Linked DNA regions of Kluyveromyces lactis. The protein of the gene in region 1 purifies or fractionates together with the protein of each later gene. This does not show direct contact. Links are inferred from orthologs where the notes say so. Each region holds a gene or a part of one and is shown on either strand. Other genes may lie near its edges.

Region 1 (6,451 bases):
TGTTTTGGTTTACTAATCACACCTAGCGCATTCTTTGCGCCATTGGACGTTTTTAGTTTTCGTACTTTAATGGAGGTTGGAATAGGATCGTTCTTGGAAATCACCTGTTTGTTAGTGTGCTCCGGTGTAGAAGGTTGCTGCAATAATTGCAGCTGTTTCCGACGATTACGCTCCTCAGATTCAGCCCACTGCGAAAAATTTCGAAGCTTTTCCAATTCATCCAGCTTTACCTTATTGATATGATCTAAGTCATCGTTTGACACTCTCGTGAAGCTGTTCTTTTCCTTTGTCTGTCTCTGAAATTGTTGGCGTTTCTTCTTGGAATTTTCTCTCAATTGATCGCTGAGCGACTTTCTTGTAACCAATTCGCCAACTTCTCGATTGACTTGCTCGTTTCTCCTTTGGCTTTCCAAATCTCCAGAACCCTCCTTGATGAACGTTGGGGCTTTCGGGTTATCCGCCATCTGTGATTTGGGATAGTAATCTTTGGCTGTATTAACTCCGTGAGAATATGCAAAGAAAATTCTGTCTGAAACCAATTAGCTAACAAAAAATTGAATTCAAGATGTCTGACATGTTCTGGTGAACGTTCGTTTAGTTTGCCTGGCTTTATTTGTCAGCGCCTCTCTCTCTCTCTATATTGTAAAATTTATTGTTTTTTCATGGAAAAATGAGAGACGTCTGTTTTCAAGTTCGGAAATTAACGCAAGTAAGATTACCCATTCCGTCTGTCTCTCCAAAATACATCCCTCCTTGCCAGAACTGTTTGCAGCATCATTTGTCTACGCTACGGATAACAGTTGCGGTTGTTTATAAGGCGAAAGCTATTAATGACGGAAGATGCTCGGCCCATCCGACCAGTCTGCAGGGTTTAATAGATCCGAAGGGTTTCCGGAGGCTGTTAAGAGCCTTCTCGAACCAGGCAATCTTTTATGTGACGTACTAGGAGGTGGATATTCGATAAAACTTGATGAATAATCATTCAAACAGTAGGAAATTTCCATCTTGTTTGGAAGCATGGCCCTGGGAATTGCCACCGCAGGAGGCTCTGAAACATCGTAAGTCACATGCTTCAGGAGGAATACGCTTGTAGAAGATAATCGCTCTTTGTTTTCTTTCGATGGAGTCCTTTCCTCAAAAGATATTGTATTAAAGATATTTTCTGTAATGTCATCCAGCGGTTCTTCAAGGTTTGACTCCAGTACAACAGGTTTACTAATATTAAGTCTTCTCTTCTTAAAAATCGAGTCTTGTATGGGAGTGGCACTGTTACTGAAATATGCTACTGACAATGACTCAGATTGGAAACCTCTTGGAAATGAGGTCTCAGTGCTTGACGAGTGCAGTTGTATATTCTTAATTCTCATGTTACCACTAGTCGGTGATATTTCGAATGTGGACGGCAATCCATTGGTTAGAAGTGTTGGGATTCGACCAGCGCTATCGTGAGACACATTTGCAGTAGTTTTAAGATCTGGTTGCTTACTTTTTCGTCCTCGCCTTTTCCGCTCTTTCTTATCAGCTGGCACATCAAGATCGTTTTCTTGTGGGGAACCATTATCAAAATCTGATTTCTTGGTATGCATGACTTTGATTTGTTGGCAATAGTTAGAGGGAGATCTTCCTCTTATTATGAGAGGCGGCGTCTTCTCCATTAGAATTGGAACAAACGTCATGTCAGTCTCTTCATCATAATGATCCAATTCATGATAAGGTGATGACTGCTGAATACCGTCATGTCTTCCCTTCACATAGCAGCCTAAAACCACTAAAAGTGAAAACCGTCTATTTTGTTGGCTAGTTTTCTTCAAAGTTATAGAAGAGGCGAACTGTATCCTTTCATACCTTGCTACTTTTTTGATTGGATCCGATGGGTAGTTTGCCAAGACACTCCTTACTTCACATCCTGTTCCAACGTCTTCTTTATGAAGGAAAAAATAGCTATCAAATTTTTTCATCTTGGATTCGTTTCTCACGTTCGATGCATCTCTTATAATCTGGTGCTTCGGCAAATTTGCAGGTGCAATAACATGTATTGGAGGAGCAAATTGAGGGCCTTTATCTCGCTTTGCAGTGTGTTGAACTAGGTTAATCAATTTATCATCTTCCAAACACTTGGCGGCTAATTTGGTAGCGAAGTATTTGATCTCCACACCGTTATCTAAATGATACGCTTGTTTCATGAACTCGATATGATCAGTCCCCGGTGTGTCAAATGAAGTTACCACGGTGAAATAATTTCTTTTATAACCAATCCAATCGTCATCTATGAAATCAAACCCTCGATCAATCCGAGGCTCCAATTTGATTTCTTGAATCTGTCCAAAATCGTTCAATATCTTGTGATTGGGCACCACTGGCGTAAAGCCTGGGCCTATTTTGAACTGCAATGTTGACCTTGGAGCAATACGAACTTTTCTCTTGTCAAAATGACTACTTAATGACCCGTCAGCGTTCCTAAAAGTTTTGATCACGTCCCCGTCAGCATTATCAAGTGTTTCCAAAAATTCGTTCTCATCTATATTGATATTCTCATCGTTCAGATGGTCCAAATCCTCCATCATAGCAAGTTTGATCACATAAAACTATACTCTGTTCCTATTAAAAGAAAATATAGTTAGCTCTCACTCTCCTCCTGGCTATTGCTATGGAATAACCGCCGAGCTTACCTGAATGACCACGAAAAAATAAAACCAAAATAAAACCTAGGAATCGTACGTTCCGTATAAGAGATAACCACAACTGCGCTTGTTCAGGTAAAGAAACAACCTTATAATCGAACCTCGTTCTGATGTCAGTTCTTAACCTCTTATCTTATTCATCGGATCTATTTCATAAGAATATTGCCCTTATTCCTTGTGACACAAAAATACTGGTATTTATATAATGTTAGTTTTTCCCTTTTCGTCAGTCATGAAGAAAACTTTAATTAATACCCATGAAAACTACTACTGAAGTTTAAATATGAATTTAAAATATTAGTCGACATCACATAATGGTGCATTATGCACACGTAGTCATTTCTTGAAATTAGCCGCCGAAATTACACTGCGCATGAAATTCATGCGGGTAACAGTATATTTTCATCAAATAATTCCGGGTAAGTAGTATCTTTTCTTTTCTCTGCCTAATTTTTTTTTTTTTTTTTCATTGTCTTTTTACTATTTCATCGTATTAGGTAGGAATTTTATTTCGAGATGAGATGAGATCAAATGAGATGAGGTGGTTTGCTGAGAAGCTATCTGAGTATTACGAGACGTTTATTTCTCCCCAAAATACCTGATTACTGTACTTCGTTACTACAAAAAAAATCATTAAAAACACTAACTCTTCCCAACGGTCGAACTTCCAGCGAAACGTAACTGTCATTGTTTGTTGTTAAAGAGTGTGTTCTTAAAACTTTAAACCAGAAGTTAGATTACGATGGGTAAAAAAGCTATTGATTCTCGTATCCCAGCTCTCATCAGAAATGGTGTTCAAACAAATCAGAGATCATTTTTCGTTATCGTTGGTGACAATGCTCGTAACCAGCTACCGAACTTGCACTATTTAATGATGAGTGCTGACCTCAAAATGAATAAATCCGTGTTATGGACGTATAAGAAGAAACTCTTGGGTTTCACTTCACACAGGAAGAAGAGAGAAGCAAAGATTAAGAAAGAGATCAAGAGAGGTACCAGAGAGATAAATGAACAAGATCCTTTTGAAACTTTCATCTCTAACCAAAACATTCGATACTGTTATTATAAGGAAACTGAAAAAATTTTGGGTAACACTTATGGTATGTGTATCCTACAAGATTTTGAAGCTTTGACTCCAAATTTGCTAGCAAGAACCATCGAAACCGTTGAAGGTGGTGGTATCATTGTTATCATGTTAAAGTCCATTTCCTCTCTAAAACAGTTATACACTATGACTATGGATATCCACTCTCGTTATAGAACGGAAGCTCATGACGATGTCGTGGCAAGATTCAACGAAAGATTTATCTTGTCCTTGGGTTCGAATGAAAACTGTTTGGTAGTAGATAGTGAGTTAAACGTTTTACCTATATCTGGAGGAAAAAACGTAAAACCACTTCCACCAAAGGATGATGAAGAAATTTCACCAAAAAATCAAGAACTAAAAGAATTGAAAGTGTCTTTAGAAGATGTTCAGCCTGCGGGATCATTAGTTGCTCTTTCAAAAACGGTTAATCAAGCTCATGCAATCTTGACCTTCATTGATGCCATTTCAGAGAAAACTTTAAATTCAACTGTAGCATTGACGGCAGGTAGAGGTAGAGGTAAATCAGCTGCTCTAGGTATTTCTATTGCTGCTGCTGTATCCCATGGTTACTCCAATATCTTTGTAACATCTCCTTCCCCTGAGAATTTGAAGACTTTATTTGAGTTTATTTTCAAAGGATTTGACGCTCTAGGCTATCAGGAGCACATTGATTATGATATCATTCAGTCCACCAATCCAAGCTTCAACAAAGCCATAGTCAGAGTAGACATCAAGAGAGAACATAGACAGACCATTCAATATATTATTCCAAATGATTCTCATGTGTTGGGACAGGCAGAACTTGTTGTCATTGATGAAGCTGCCGCAATTCCACTACCACTTGTAAAGAAGCTTTTGGGTCCGTACTTAGTGTTTATGGCATCCACTATTAACGGTTATGAAGGTACCGGTAGATCTTTGTCTTTGAAATTGATTCAACAGCTAAGAACTCAATCCAACGGTACTGGCCGTGAAGATTCCGAAACAGCACTTGTTTCCAGAGATTCAAAGAAACAAGAAGTTCAAACAAGTGGCCGTTCTTTGAGAGAAGTTGTCTTAGATGAACCTATCAGATACGCTCCTGGTGACCCAGTTGAAAAATGGTTGAATAAATTACTTTGTTTGGACGTTCAACTAATCAAAAATCCAAGATTTGCTGCTAGAGGCACACCTCATCCATCTCAATGTAATTTATTCATCGTCAATAGAGATACTCTATTTTCTTATCATCCTGTTTCTGAAAATTTTCTGGAGAAGATGATGGCTCTTTATGTCGCATCGCATTACAAGAATTCTCCTAACGACTTGCAATTAATGAGTGATGCACCTGCTCATCAACTATTCGTTTTATTGCCTCCCATCGATCCAAAAGATGGCGGCAGAATACCTGATCCCTTAGTGGTCATCCAGGTCGCATTGGAAGGTGAGATCTCGAAGGATTCTGTCAGAAATTCTTTGGCAAGAGGTCAAAGAGCTGGTGGTGACTTAATTCCATGGCTAATCTCACAGCAATTTCAAGATGAAGAATTTGCCGGTTTGAGTGGTGCCCGTGTTGTTAGGATTGCAACCAATCCGGAATACGCCTCTATGGGTTATGGGTCTAGGGCTCTGGAGTTATTGAAAGATCATTTCGAAGGTAAATTCACCGATTTGAATGAAGATACGGTACAAAAGGACTACACAATCAAGAGAGTCGATGACAGGGATTTGAAGAAAGCAGACCTCTTGAAAGATGAAATCAAATTAAGGGATGCAAAGACGTTGCCACCATTGCTTCTGAAACTCTCAGAACAAACCCCTCACTTTTTGCATTACTTAGGTGTTTCATATGGTTTAACAAAATCTTTACATAAGTTCTGGAAAAACAACGGATTTGTCCCAGTTTACTTACGTCAAACAGCGAATGATTTGACTGGTGAACATACATGTGTTATGGTTAAAGTTCTTGAAGGTCGTGAATCAAAATGGCTGGCAGAATTTGCCAAAGATTTCCATAAAAGATTCTTGTCTTTATTATCGTTCGACTTTAAGAAATTCACTGCCATCGAAGCGTTAAATGTCATTGAATCTGCTAAGAAGGGTGAAACACTAGACCAAGACTCGGAGGGCAGATCGTTCCAGAATAAGGTTTTAACAAGGGACCAATTGGATTCCATCTTTTCTCCATTCGATCTAAAGAGGTTAGAAAGCTATGCTAACAACTTACTGGATTATCATGTCATTGTTGATCTTCTACCAATGATGGCATTGCTATACTTTAGTGGAAAGCTGGGTGACGGTGTATCATTATCAAGCGTACAATCGTGTATACTACTTGCAATTGGTTTGCAACACAAGGGCATTGATGACATAACGAAAGAGTTGAACTTACCATCCAATCAAACTATTGCCATGTTCTCCAAGATTATCAGGAAATTCACCAATTTCTTCAGGGAAGTTTTAAGCGAGTCTATTGAAAAAACCTTACCTCAAATCAAGGACCAAGAAATTGCCGAAATGAATGGCGAAGAAGTGTTGTCTTACAATGCTGCCGAAGTCATTGACAAAATGGAAGATGACCTTGAAAATGCAGGGAACGAAGCTATCAGCGCAATGAGAGAAAAGCAGAAAGAATTGATCAATTCCTTGAACCTAAATAAATATGAAATTGATGAAACTGGCGAGGGCTGGGAAGAATCTTCCA
Region 2 (6,233 bases), about 250 kb from region 1:
TAGAAAACATAGTTGTTTCATATGAAGATGAGAATATTGACGATTTACTTGAACCCCTCCATACGGAGGAAGATCAGCAAGACTACACCGATATTGATAAAACGGATTATGATTTTGAGACCTCTGGAACGGGAGGCTTAACTTTAGGCAATGTAGTTACCACAGAGTTAGACGAAATGGAGGACATGCAAAATACATTTGAAAGAAGGGCATCTTTGGATTTTGGACACGCATACGATATATAAATATAATTTGTTTAACACAAAATTAGTTCATGTTTACGACAAAACAATCGCACTCTCACTCGATTGTTTTCAAATCAATCACATGTAACAATCTTTTGGTTCCGATTTTGTCTATTCTACTATACATCTATATACAACTATCAAATTGATAAATGGGCTAGGGCGTTGCAGTGCATATCAGGTAAAAGTGATTTATAATCTCCTCTTGTTTTTAAATCTACCATTGGATTTTTTACCAATTCTTCCCTTTTCAGCTGGTTTTGTTTTTGGTAGCTTGGTTTCCTGTTCATCATCACTGAAATCATCCTCATTGCCAGCTCTGGATCCTTTTTTGAATTTTAGTCTGTTCTTTTGACCCTTTACTGGACCTTGTTTGACAGCATCTAAGTATGCATTAACACCACTGGTAATAGCCTCTAACGGATCTTCATTGTTATTTTCTCCTCTTCTCCTATCGTTTTTCATAACCAACTTACCTTCTGCATCAAAGCTGAACACTTCATCATCGACAATCCTTCTTCTTTCATTTTTATTTGATTTTGGTCTAGTCGAGGAAATATGCGCCAATGTTTGAGAGTCCAATAAATCTAATGGGGTCTCCTTCGACTCGACAATGAATTGTTTAGAACCCTTCTTTCTTCTATCAGATTTTGTATTGTTTTTGTCTTCATCTTCACTCTCTTCTTCAGAAGAATATAGAGCTTCATCAAGGGCGGACATGAATCTAGACGACTTATTTGAAGGAGCAGCTTGCGCTGGCGCTTCTTCTTCGCCTTCATCTCGTTTACGAATACTTCTGTTACGAGACTTTCTGATATTGGCAAGCAATCTCAAGTCTTCTTCTGGGAATATTGACTCAATATAATCGTATCCAAATCTCCTAATCAATCTTTCTATGATGTGCTTAACCTTTGCCTTGAAATGGCCAGTATGTTCATGAGACCAACGTAATAATTTAGGAAGTAATTCTGGAACTTTAGGCTTCATGACTTCATCATTGAGACCTAAACAGCAAACTTTTGCAAAACCAATCGCACTTTTGACAATCTCTCTTGAATTAGAGGTTAAATATAGTTCGATTGTGTCATAAATTTCTAAGAGAACATCAACATCAACTTTATCTTTAAACTCGAAAACCAAACAAGAATATGCGGTGATTGTTGCGCTTACCATATGTTGCGATTCCCCAATTAAACCAGCTGAAATAATTCTGAAAAATTCAGCAACGGAAGAGGGTTGGTCTGGAGTGTTGGGGTCATAATTTGGAATGCAGGAAAGTTTGATAACACCCTCTGAACTATCCATTTTGTTAGCCATTTGGATAAGAATTTCAAAAGCCGTCTCACGGGATTTTTCGTTGACATCTTTGGTACACAATATGACTTCTGCCACAACCTGAACAATAAATCCTAGTTGAGTAGGTGGAAGTAAATTTACGAGAGTTCTAATTGCCGCCAACCTTGCTGATTTAGAGGAAGTGTGAACAGTTGATGCGCTGTTCAACATGACATTTTCAATATCAGATATGAAATTCGTGATGGCATCGGAACCTTCTTCGATTTCTGAAAGTTTATGAATAATACGGTATGCTCTCTTTTGGAATAATGCATTTTCTGAGTTGACGATGGAATTGAAAATAGCAAAGAGGGCACCATATGAGGAAGGTGGAACATATTTTACCATCGCGATAACTAAATCGAGCAAAGTAGCAGACATTTCATTGTTGTTCTTTTTAGCTTCTTCTTGAAGAGCAGTATTCAAGAGCCCACATACATTATTAAATGTTTGTGCAAGGTCTTCTTTCTTTGTTATTTGCAGATAAGAATCAATTGTCTCAAGGATATATCCTCTGGCGTTTGGAGCGGTTTGAGTATAAACATTGAAGAGCACCGCTAACATATTAGAAGATTTGGTAGACAAGTATTCTAAACTGTTCGTAGCACTTTCTATGGAAAAGTGTTGCAAAAGAAGCGAATCTGTAGTTGAGTTTTTTTGATATACTAGATTACTTTCGACGAGATTTCTTAGAGCACGACAAATAGTCGTTCTAAGTTCAACGTGGGAATATAACAAACCAGACAATTCAGCAGCCACCTCATCAGAAAAAGCTTCAGTCAAATCGGTTGGCAAATCACAGAATGGTGGCAATAAAGACCAGATTTGATCTACAACAGTTTGATATACCTTTAACTGAACAGATTCTTTACCAAATTTATCGAATTGAGATTCGAAATGTTTGATAAGAGGTAAAAACTCTTTGAAAAATGTATTTAACGTAGAATTCTGGATGGAGTCTCTTAATATTGGTAACAACCAGGCCCTTCCCGGTTTTGATGTAGATGGACTAATTAAATTTAGTGGTAAACATCCTAGTACAGCATCTACACCAATAGCTTCTATAGCCCCACCGATAACGTTTTCTGCCTCGGATCTCAAGTCCAAGAAGTTTTGTTCATCTGTTCTCCAACTGCCTACAATCTCTAGAGGTTTGATAAAATCTGGATTGGCTCTATATTTCAACTTTTTGAAAGTAGCCGTCAAAACATTTAACACTGCCTTAGCACAATGTGTGTATTTAATAGATAATAGATCCACAAATATCTCAGACAACTCTTGAATAACTTCATCAACTGCTTCAAAGTGCTCAGCGGAAACGGAAGGTGGATACAACAAAATTTCTGATTTGATTGCGTCAGTGACAATAGCGATTAAACATTGTGCTGCGCTAAAGTAGATATCTGGAATCTCACTTGATAGGTAAAATGATAAAGTTCTGAAAACTTCAGGAATCTTAACAAAACACTTTAATGGATCGTGAATCGCATATGTGCTGATACCTTTAGCGACGACTGCAATCCAGGCTGCTGCCAAATGTGTATCATTTTGGGATGGTTTTAATGAAAAAATGACATCAAGGGCTTTCATGAATTTATTCTCCGCTAAGCCAGATGAGACTGAAGACTCGGCCATAGACTGGAATAGAACCTCAAAACAGTTAAAAGAATTAGATACCAAAAATTGGTCCGAGGTTTTACAAACTTCCAATAGCAGATCACAGAGTTTTTCCACATGCGCAGTTGGCCATTGATTTGTTGATATTATATTGCTCAAAAGTTTCAAAATATGAATGATTTTGGAGTTCAATTCACTTGCACCTCCCATTGCTCTTAGCTTCTTATTGGAAATCGTTGCAGATTCATCAAGGATGGATACCAATGCATTAATAGCGAATGCTGAGATCAAAGGTGATGCGACGTGTTCTGCTGTTGGACCAGGTGGAGGGTTTTTTAGAATGTTGGTAATTGCATCCTGTGCTCTCTTCCTTACTTTTGGTCTTGGATCTAGAGATAGCTCAAGTAGACCATCCAAACCTCTTGTTGGAGTCACCTTTAAATTTTGAGTGTTATTCCACGTTTGCGTATCCTGGGCAATTAACAAAGCTTCTAAACAACCAAGAGCGGATTTGATCAAAGGAGCGTTAGCCTTTTCATCAGTAATACATGGGGCAACTTTAATCAAAATATCAGCAAACCTGCTCTTTAATATTTTCTTTGGTGTATAATGAAAAATGATGTCCAACAAATACATCGTTGATGTTGCTAATTGTAGATCTTTAATGGCCGCAGTTTCTGTATCGATAGTTTGATCCAGCAAGGACATCAAAGAAATAAGATAATTCACGATGTTCTTATTAATTGCCTCTTGCTCATTAATATTTTCTTCAATAGCAGCCAAGATTATGGCAATGTGCTTCTGATTCTCTAGTTTTGATGTAGATTGTCCTCTGATTTTAGCAAGCTTATCTTCAAGTTCAAGAAGCTTGGACGCTTGTTCAGGACCCATATTGCACAATTTGTTCGCTTGTCAGTTTTCAATCCCAAGTTAAACTCAGTAATTCTCTTTTCTGAGGTGTTGTTGATTATAACTCGTCTCTACTTGTTAGATGAGATGAGCGATGAGATGAGCTAGATTGAAAATTTTATACAGCTTGTGAAAAATTTCTTTTTAAGCCCTTAGTGATGAAGCAGCAAGGATCGTGAGGCAATGAAGAAAGCAGAGAATAAAAAGTAAATAAATTTTGGTTAATATATGCCAACTCTGTATATATGCGTCTGCTAAACGGGTTCAAGAACATACTATTTCATTATTTGTGTCGTTAACTTTCTTTACTGAATGCGATGTTATTTGTAATGCCAAGTCGTTTTATATGACTGCATTTTTGGTAAACTAATTCCCACCGTCAGTCTAACTCCAGTAAATAAACACTTTCTCACTTATAGATACTTTCTCATAGATCAACTTCCTATACTATTAGGCTGTAATGTCGCCATAAACGCCTAAGACGAATGTTGCTCATACGGCTGTTAGATATCCCACCTATATCACGTGATAGACATGCTTTATTTAGTTGGTGTTGAAAATCCTTCGAAAGATAGAAAAAAAAATTCAATCAACATTAAAAGCGTAATAACAGGACAAACATATTATGTATCAAGACGACCAGAGCGAGTAAACCAAGTCTCTTAAACCAGAATTTAACGCCAAGTTTGGTGAAATACAATAATCATGACGAAAGGTTTGGTGAGGATAAGACTAGCTAGATTCGGAAGGAAACATACCCCAGTATACAACATAGTTGTTACCAACAAACATAAGGCGTTGAATAGGAAACCAATTGAAGTATTAGGAACATACAACCCAATCCCAAAACCATTAACGAAGAAAGAGGTTAAACAAGGTGTTGTTCCTACTAAAGATGTGGAATTAGACTTCGGAAGAGCTAAATACTGGATCGGTGTTGGTGCTCAACCTAGTGATACGGTAACAAGACTATTGAGAAAAGCTGGAATCCTGGATGAAAATTGGGGAAAGACCTACACAAGTAGTAGGGTTGTTATTGAACCTAGGAAAGAAGTCTTTGAAGAATAGACCAGCTGTTCCGATTACTGTATTAAAAGCGGTATATCAATAATCAGGGCATAAATCACCATCTCCCAAGGCTTTCTTACGGTCAAGAACTCATGTATATAGGCTTAAATTGATAAGAGGAATTCGGGCACTTTTTCCGGTCATAAACCAATGTAGTAGTTACATACACTTAACAGCTTGGCCCCATGCGGTAAAATTGAAGTGATTAAATTTACATATCACCATATATAAGATGCTATCAGGTAATTCTACACAATAATAATAATCGTCATCAGCATATATTTCCCTGAATGAGGGAAGTATCATCGAGGAATACTGACTGTTAAACTATGTGATTTCCGAAAATTCATAAATATTAACAAAATTACAAGAACAAAAAGATGGTTTATGTTATGTTTTTGTGAATGAGTGAGTGAATGTCTAACTTCTCAAGTATTTAATAGGTATGTTTGGTGTAATGTTCAGGTTTGTATTGGAGATTAGTGCTCATGATGTTACATCGAGTCAAATTGTGTTCCAGTGCAACTATAAATTGGATTCATTTTCTATATGTGTGGGTAATCTATTGTTTCGTTCATCAGGCTGTTGACCAGCAGCAGCAGTATTTGTAGCATTTGAAGTTGAGTTCAAAAGAGTATTTACGCTTGCGGTTGATTGTGCTAGGAAAGATGATTGGGATGGGATAGAATTTGTTGGAGTAAGAAAGAAATGAGCATTACTAGAGGATCTTGACCTTGTTAGATTGGGAAGAGCAGGTGGCTGTACACCACTAATAGTATTTGACAATTGTGGGTGTATCTTGAACGAGTTACTTCTTGATCTACTAGCGGCTGTAATGAAACTATTGTTTCGTGACCTGACAAGAGCTTTTGGATTCTGAGGAGGAACTTGCGTAGTGCCTTGTGATAGTTGTAACGGTTGTTGCAACTGCTGCGACGATGGTCTAGATTCGAATGGCGAGTTCAAACCAGTGTAATAGTTCGTAGTAAAGGAAGAAGGTGGAGAATTTGTACTTTCGGCAGAATGACAATTGAAATAATCCTGTGGACTTTGCTGTAG
Region 3 (4,839 bases), on another chromosome or scaffold:
CTGCATAACCTTAGTTGGAGGATCATTAATAAGTCGTTGTTGAAAGATCAGAATATCAACAAGTCAAAGAGACGGGATGGTGTACGGAACCTATATCACGTTATTAATCCTATAAAGCAAACGCACTTATTCCCACAACTGCAGCAACAGCTGCAGAAACCAAAAGCTGTGACACCGGCGTCACCAAAGACTCCAACTACAATGGTAACTGCAGCTTCCACCTCGGCGACATCGTCCGGTTCATCATCTGCGCTGTTGACACCAATCTCTAGTGGGGCCTCGATACCGAAATCGACTGCTAATACGCATATTACGTCAACAAGACCTCATATCTCAATTTCGAAGAAACTGATATCACCTGTGTGTTCTTCACCTGAACCTCTACCGACGAAAATGGAGGTTCCATCAAGGTCCCAGGCAAACACCCCTGATCTACGGAAAGATTTGGCAAAGAAGAAATTCGCTATTTCTCCTGAATTGGTCAATGTACCGAAGAACCATCAACAACAATTACCTTTACCACCATCATCATCAGAACCCCCGGTGTCAAATCATGTGCCTTTATCGGAAACAAAGTCAAATGCTCACTCACAGACTTCTTTGTTCAGTAGAAACCCATCTAGTAAATCATTATTTGCGAAAAATCAACCTACTCCATTCACCCCGGCCAATGGATCTACTAATTCATCTGCCAATGGATCTGCTGAAAACCTCAAATCAAATGAGATGAATCATTCCTCGAGAACGTCATCAGTTGCCAACAATATCGCTCATACATCTAGTAATGGCACCAAATCTGGAACGTCTGGTACTATAAGTAATGCAGCGCATGTGCATGCCGGACAAGATCACAAGAATATGTTCTTTAGTAGTGAGGACGAAGAATCTGATTGGGACTCTCTTTCAGATGATAGTGAGATATACGATGAAGAAGAAGATAATGATCAATATTATGAAAACCAATGGGATAAGCTGATGTTCTCAAAGACACACCAAAACAATAATGTTCATCAAGTGCCTTCAAAAGAATCCGGAGAGAAGAAAAGTTTGTTGTCTGGTCTATTCATGCAAGAGAAACAAACCAAGTCACAAGTTGATCCAGAGGATAAAGCATACACTACAACCAATGAGGATTTGCTCAAAAGACCACTATATGTTTCTGAAGCAACATCTTCAGCAAAGGCTGTTGAGAAACCTGTCTTAAAGTCTTTGGATAAACAATCGGAAAAGCCTCTGAGAAAGAAGACCGATCAAAATTGCATATTACATCAGAATCCAACAGGAATTCAAATACCGCCTCAACCTGTTGCTCCAGAAACTACGGAAATAGTTGCTGTGGGCTCTGTGACACCATCAAGTTCGTGGCAGAACAAACCTCTTTTGGATCATCAAAAGCCAATTCCTGTCGCATTTGAGCGTTCCAGAAGACTCGGCTCTTTTAGTAGTATCGTAAGCGATACTACTAGAGAACGGTATTATCATGAATCGAATGCACCTCCGGCTGCTCAGACCATTTTACCTACTGCTCTTTCTACCCATATGTTTTTGCCTAATAACGTCCACCAACAAAGGATGGCATTACGTGGAGGAAGTCTTCAATCAGATTTTGATACTGAAATAGCCAAAAAGGTAGCATCGAGACGTGAATCGATGGATATCCCTTCCAAAAACAGAAACAATTTCTTCCTCAAGACTAGAATGGAAATCTCAGAAGAAGAAAGCTTCGCTAGAGCATATGGCAGATGTGTCAAGAAGTGAAGGTAATTTCCTTCATTTACTAAACATCATCCACGACAAATATTAATTACCTTTGATAGACTGTATAAAACCTCGTTTAATGACAACCAAGTAATTCTTTAATATGTCACCAATTACAGTGTCTGTTGTATGTAACCGATGTTACGATAATGCGTTTCTTAGCGTATTTGGCTTTATGGATTTGTATAAAGGTTTTGTCACGTGACCATTTGGTATTATTCTAATAATTATTTCTTTTTGAGGCTGAAATTTTTACATGAACGATGCGATGAGATGAGACGTTAGAGCTGAAGAACAACTTAGCTGGTTGGACATTTTTGTTTACGACGGACTAGTATCGTGTATATACGTACTGTAGTCACTATAAACAGGCATTATTATAGTATATTATCAGCTATTCGCTTTTTTGGTACTATACAAGCAACACATTATTGAAGTACGATGTTAAGAAGGCAAGCTCGTGAAAGAAGAGAATACTTGTACCGTAAAGCACAAGAGCTACAAGAATCTCAACTACAACAAAAGCGCCAAATCATAAAGCAAGCGTTAGCACAGGGGAAACCACTACCAAAGGAAATTGCTGAAGATGAGCAACTACAGAAAGATTTTCAATACGATGAAAGTGCTCAGGAACAGATAGATGATGAGTACAGCGCAACAAGCGGTATCGCAGAACCTAAGATTATTGTGACAACATCTAGAGACCCTAGTACTAGGTTATCACAGTTTGCAAAAGAAATCAAATTACTGTTCCCAACAGCGGTAAGATTAAACAGAGGTAATTACATTATGCCGAATCTTGTCGATGCCTGTCAAACATCAGGAACGTCAGATTTGGTTGTTCTTCATGAACATAGAGGTGTTCCTACATCACTAACGGTATCACATTTCCCACATGGTCCAACAGCATTTTTCACATTACACAACGTCGTTTTAAGACATGACATTTTAAATTCGGGGAATCAAAGTGAAGTAAATCCACATCTAATCTTCGATAATTTCACAACACCATTGGGTAAGAGAGTAGAGACGATTTTAAAGCACCTATTCCCACCTGGTCCAAAGAAAGATGCAGCAAGGGTGATAACGTTTGCAAACAGAGGAGATTTTATCAGCGTTAGGCAACATGTTTATGTGAAAACCAGAGAAGGTGTGGAGTTAGCAGAAGTGGGACCTAGGTTCGAGATGAGATTGTTCGAATTAAAATTAGGAACATTAGAAAATAAAGATGCTGACGTAGAATGGCAACTAAGAAGATTTGTTAGAACGGCTAGTAGAAAGGACTATTTATAATTATAGTAAGCATAATAAGACAATTCCATCATAATGTCCATAAAATCAAGCAAAGTATAACATTTTTGCTAGTGGAAAGAATTCTATCAAACGTATTTCGTTTTAACGACGGAAAGGGTATGTTGTTTGAGGAGATACAGGAAAATTAAACACAATTACATGATATTAGCAAACCCTGGAGCATGAAGCAACTGCGTTTCAGTCACTGTATTTATAGATAGGATAAAAAGAATCAGAAAGAGAAAAAGAAAACACCCGTAAGTAAATTAACATAAAAGAATAACAACCTTCTCATTTCGATATAAATAAAAATAGAATGTTAATTCAAAATAGAGTTATAACGATTGACTGTACCGAGGAGACGGTAAGGGAAAGAGTTGCTGAACGAGAGAAAAAATAAGGGAAGGGGAAGAAGATGTATCAAAGAAGAGACGGAAAAAATAAATGACCCGTTCTTGGCCAGAAAATTCAAGTGATTGCTTGAAAACAGATAAACGTAGCAATTTCCTTCTATTTAAAAGCGCGCTGAATGGCTCATGGATCATCCTTATTCTTTCTTTTTAATGTTAGATTTCGTTAGTCAACTTTTTCTTCACCACTTCGCTTGCCGTATTGGATTGAAGTTGCTCATCATAAAAAACATCATCCAGTATATGGGTATTCGCGCTTGACACGGAGCTTCTACTGAAGTTATTCGCGTACGGTGAAACTCCACTAGCATTGGAGTACGCTCTTGTCTTGTACGCTGGAGGAGAGAATTTTTTGTTAAAACCAGATCCCTGAGTAGAAGTACGTGATAAACGAAGTCCTTGAGGATTTACTGGTGGGGTGTTCAGTGTACCTGCACTAGATACATCATGATCTAAACCACGATGCTGTGTATTTCTGTTGTTGTTGTTGTTGTTGTTGTTGTTGTTGTTGTTGTTGTTGTTGTTGTTGTTGTTGCTGTTGCTGCTGTTGCTGTTACTGCGATGTTGGTCCGGATCTTCATCATCGGAACATTCACTTCCGCTGGACTCTATTTGAAAGTTACTCTTGCGCAACAACGCACTATTTGGGTTATGTGGGATCATTAAAGGGGAAGTACTCAGTCTATGTCCATTTGTAGTATTAGTATTTGGGGAACGGCACGCGAGATTCCCCGAATAATGTCTTGTAGCAACGGCCAGTGGTGGAATGGAAACGTTGGAAAGTTTTCTATGTGATTCCAAGGGACTAACACCCTGTCCACTGTTCCCACCGTTTGCAGCTACCGCAGCAGCTATAGCCTGGTTGTTCAAGAATGGATTAGAAAAATCTGGTGAACCCAGCTGATTTGAAGGAGAGTTTCCTGCTCTGTGGCTATCAAATCCTGTAGGCGTACCAGCACCTTGTTGTCTCAACAAGGTCGACGAAAGCGATTGTGTTATGGAAGGCCTTCTTGGATATGAAGAGTTCTCATCCGATATCATATCGGCGTAAGAGTAAAAACGTAACACCCTAGGTCTGGTTTCCAGGCCAGACCCCTGAGAGGCACTATTGGTCCTCATCAGTCTTGTTGTAGAAGAGTTGTTCCCACTCAAAGTGGCAGCATCCGATGATGAATTGGTCCTTGTCCTGCCCAATGCCATGTCCAATCCGATAGTGGAAGGTCTTCTCGAATAAATCATTTCCACCGACTCCAAGTCAGTAGAATCATCATTTACAATAGTCACACCTTCATCTAACGCCGGTGCCACCAAGTTTTCAAGGGTATGATGTGGAATAAAGCTTCCAGCGTTCGATTGCTTCCTCGAAGAGGATTTCGAA

The links. The genes of interacting proteins can lie anywhere in the genome.
Region 2: the proteins of KRE33 (region 1) and RRP12 purify together in Saccharomyces cerevisiae (affinity purification with mass spectrometry; 3 studies listed by BioGRID). This does not show direct contact. The link is inferred for Kluyveromyces lactis from reciprocal best matches to the Saccharomyces cerevisiae genes KRE33 and RRP12.
Region 3: the proteins of KRE33 (region 1) and IMP4 purify together in Saccharomyces cerevisiae (affinity purification with mass spectrometry; 3 studies listed by BioGRID). This does not show direct contact. The link is inferred for Kluyveromyces lactis from reciprocal best matches to the Saccharomyces cerevisiae genes KRE33 and IMP4.

Annotation. Positions count from the first base shown.
Region 1 is NC_006042.1:2,271,849-2,278,299, reverse strand, and holds the start of KRE33 (ribosome biosynthesis protein KRE33), read left to right. Parts: upstream 1-3,423; coding exon 3,424-6,451. Other genes in the region: FYV6 (Fyv6p), read right to left, coding at 1-464; transcription factor NDT80, read right to left, coding at 828-2,564. UniProt on the Saccharomyces cerevisiae protein: RNA cytidine acetyltransferase with specificity toward both 18S rRNA and tRNAs. Catalyzes the formation of N(4)-acetylcytidine (ac4C) at positions 1280 and 1773 in 18S rRNA.
Region 2 is NC_006042.1:2,518,637-2,524,869, reverse strand, and holds RRP12 (mRNA-binding protein RRP12), read right to left. Parts: upstream 4,089-6,233; coding exon 438-4,088; downstream 1-437. Other genes in the region: TAF3 (Taf3p), read left to right, coding at 1-245; MRPS16 (mitochondrial 37S ribosomal protein bS16m), read left to right, coding at 4,812-5,174; CIP1 (Cip1p), read right to left, coding at 5,700-6,233. UniProt on the Saccharomyces cerevisiae protein: In association with GSP1, required for nuclear export of both pre-40S and pre-60S ribosomal subunits. Required for the late maturation of the 18S and 5.8S rRNA of the pre-40S ribosomes and for maturation of the 25S and 5.8S rRNA of the pre-60S ribosomes.
Region 3 is NC_006041.1:699,405-704,243, reverse strand, and holds IMP4 (snoRNA-binding rRNA-processing protein IMP4), read left to right. Parts: upstream 1-2,199; coding exon 2,200-3,051; downstream 3,052-4,839. Other genes in the region: MKS1 (Mks1p), read left to right, coding at 1-1,758; KLLA0_E07811g (uncharacterized protein), read right to left, coding at 3,618-4,839. UniProt on the Saccharomyces cerevisiae protein: Required for the early cleavages at sites A0, A1 and A2 during 18S ribosomal pre-RNA processing.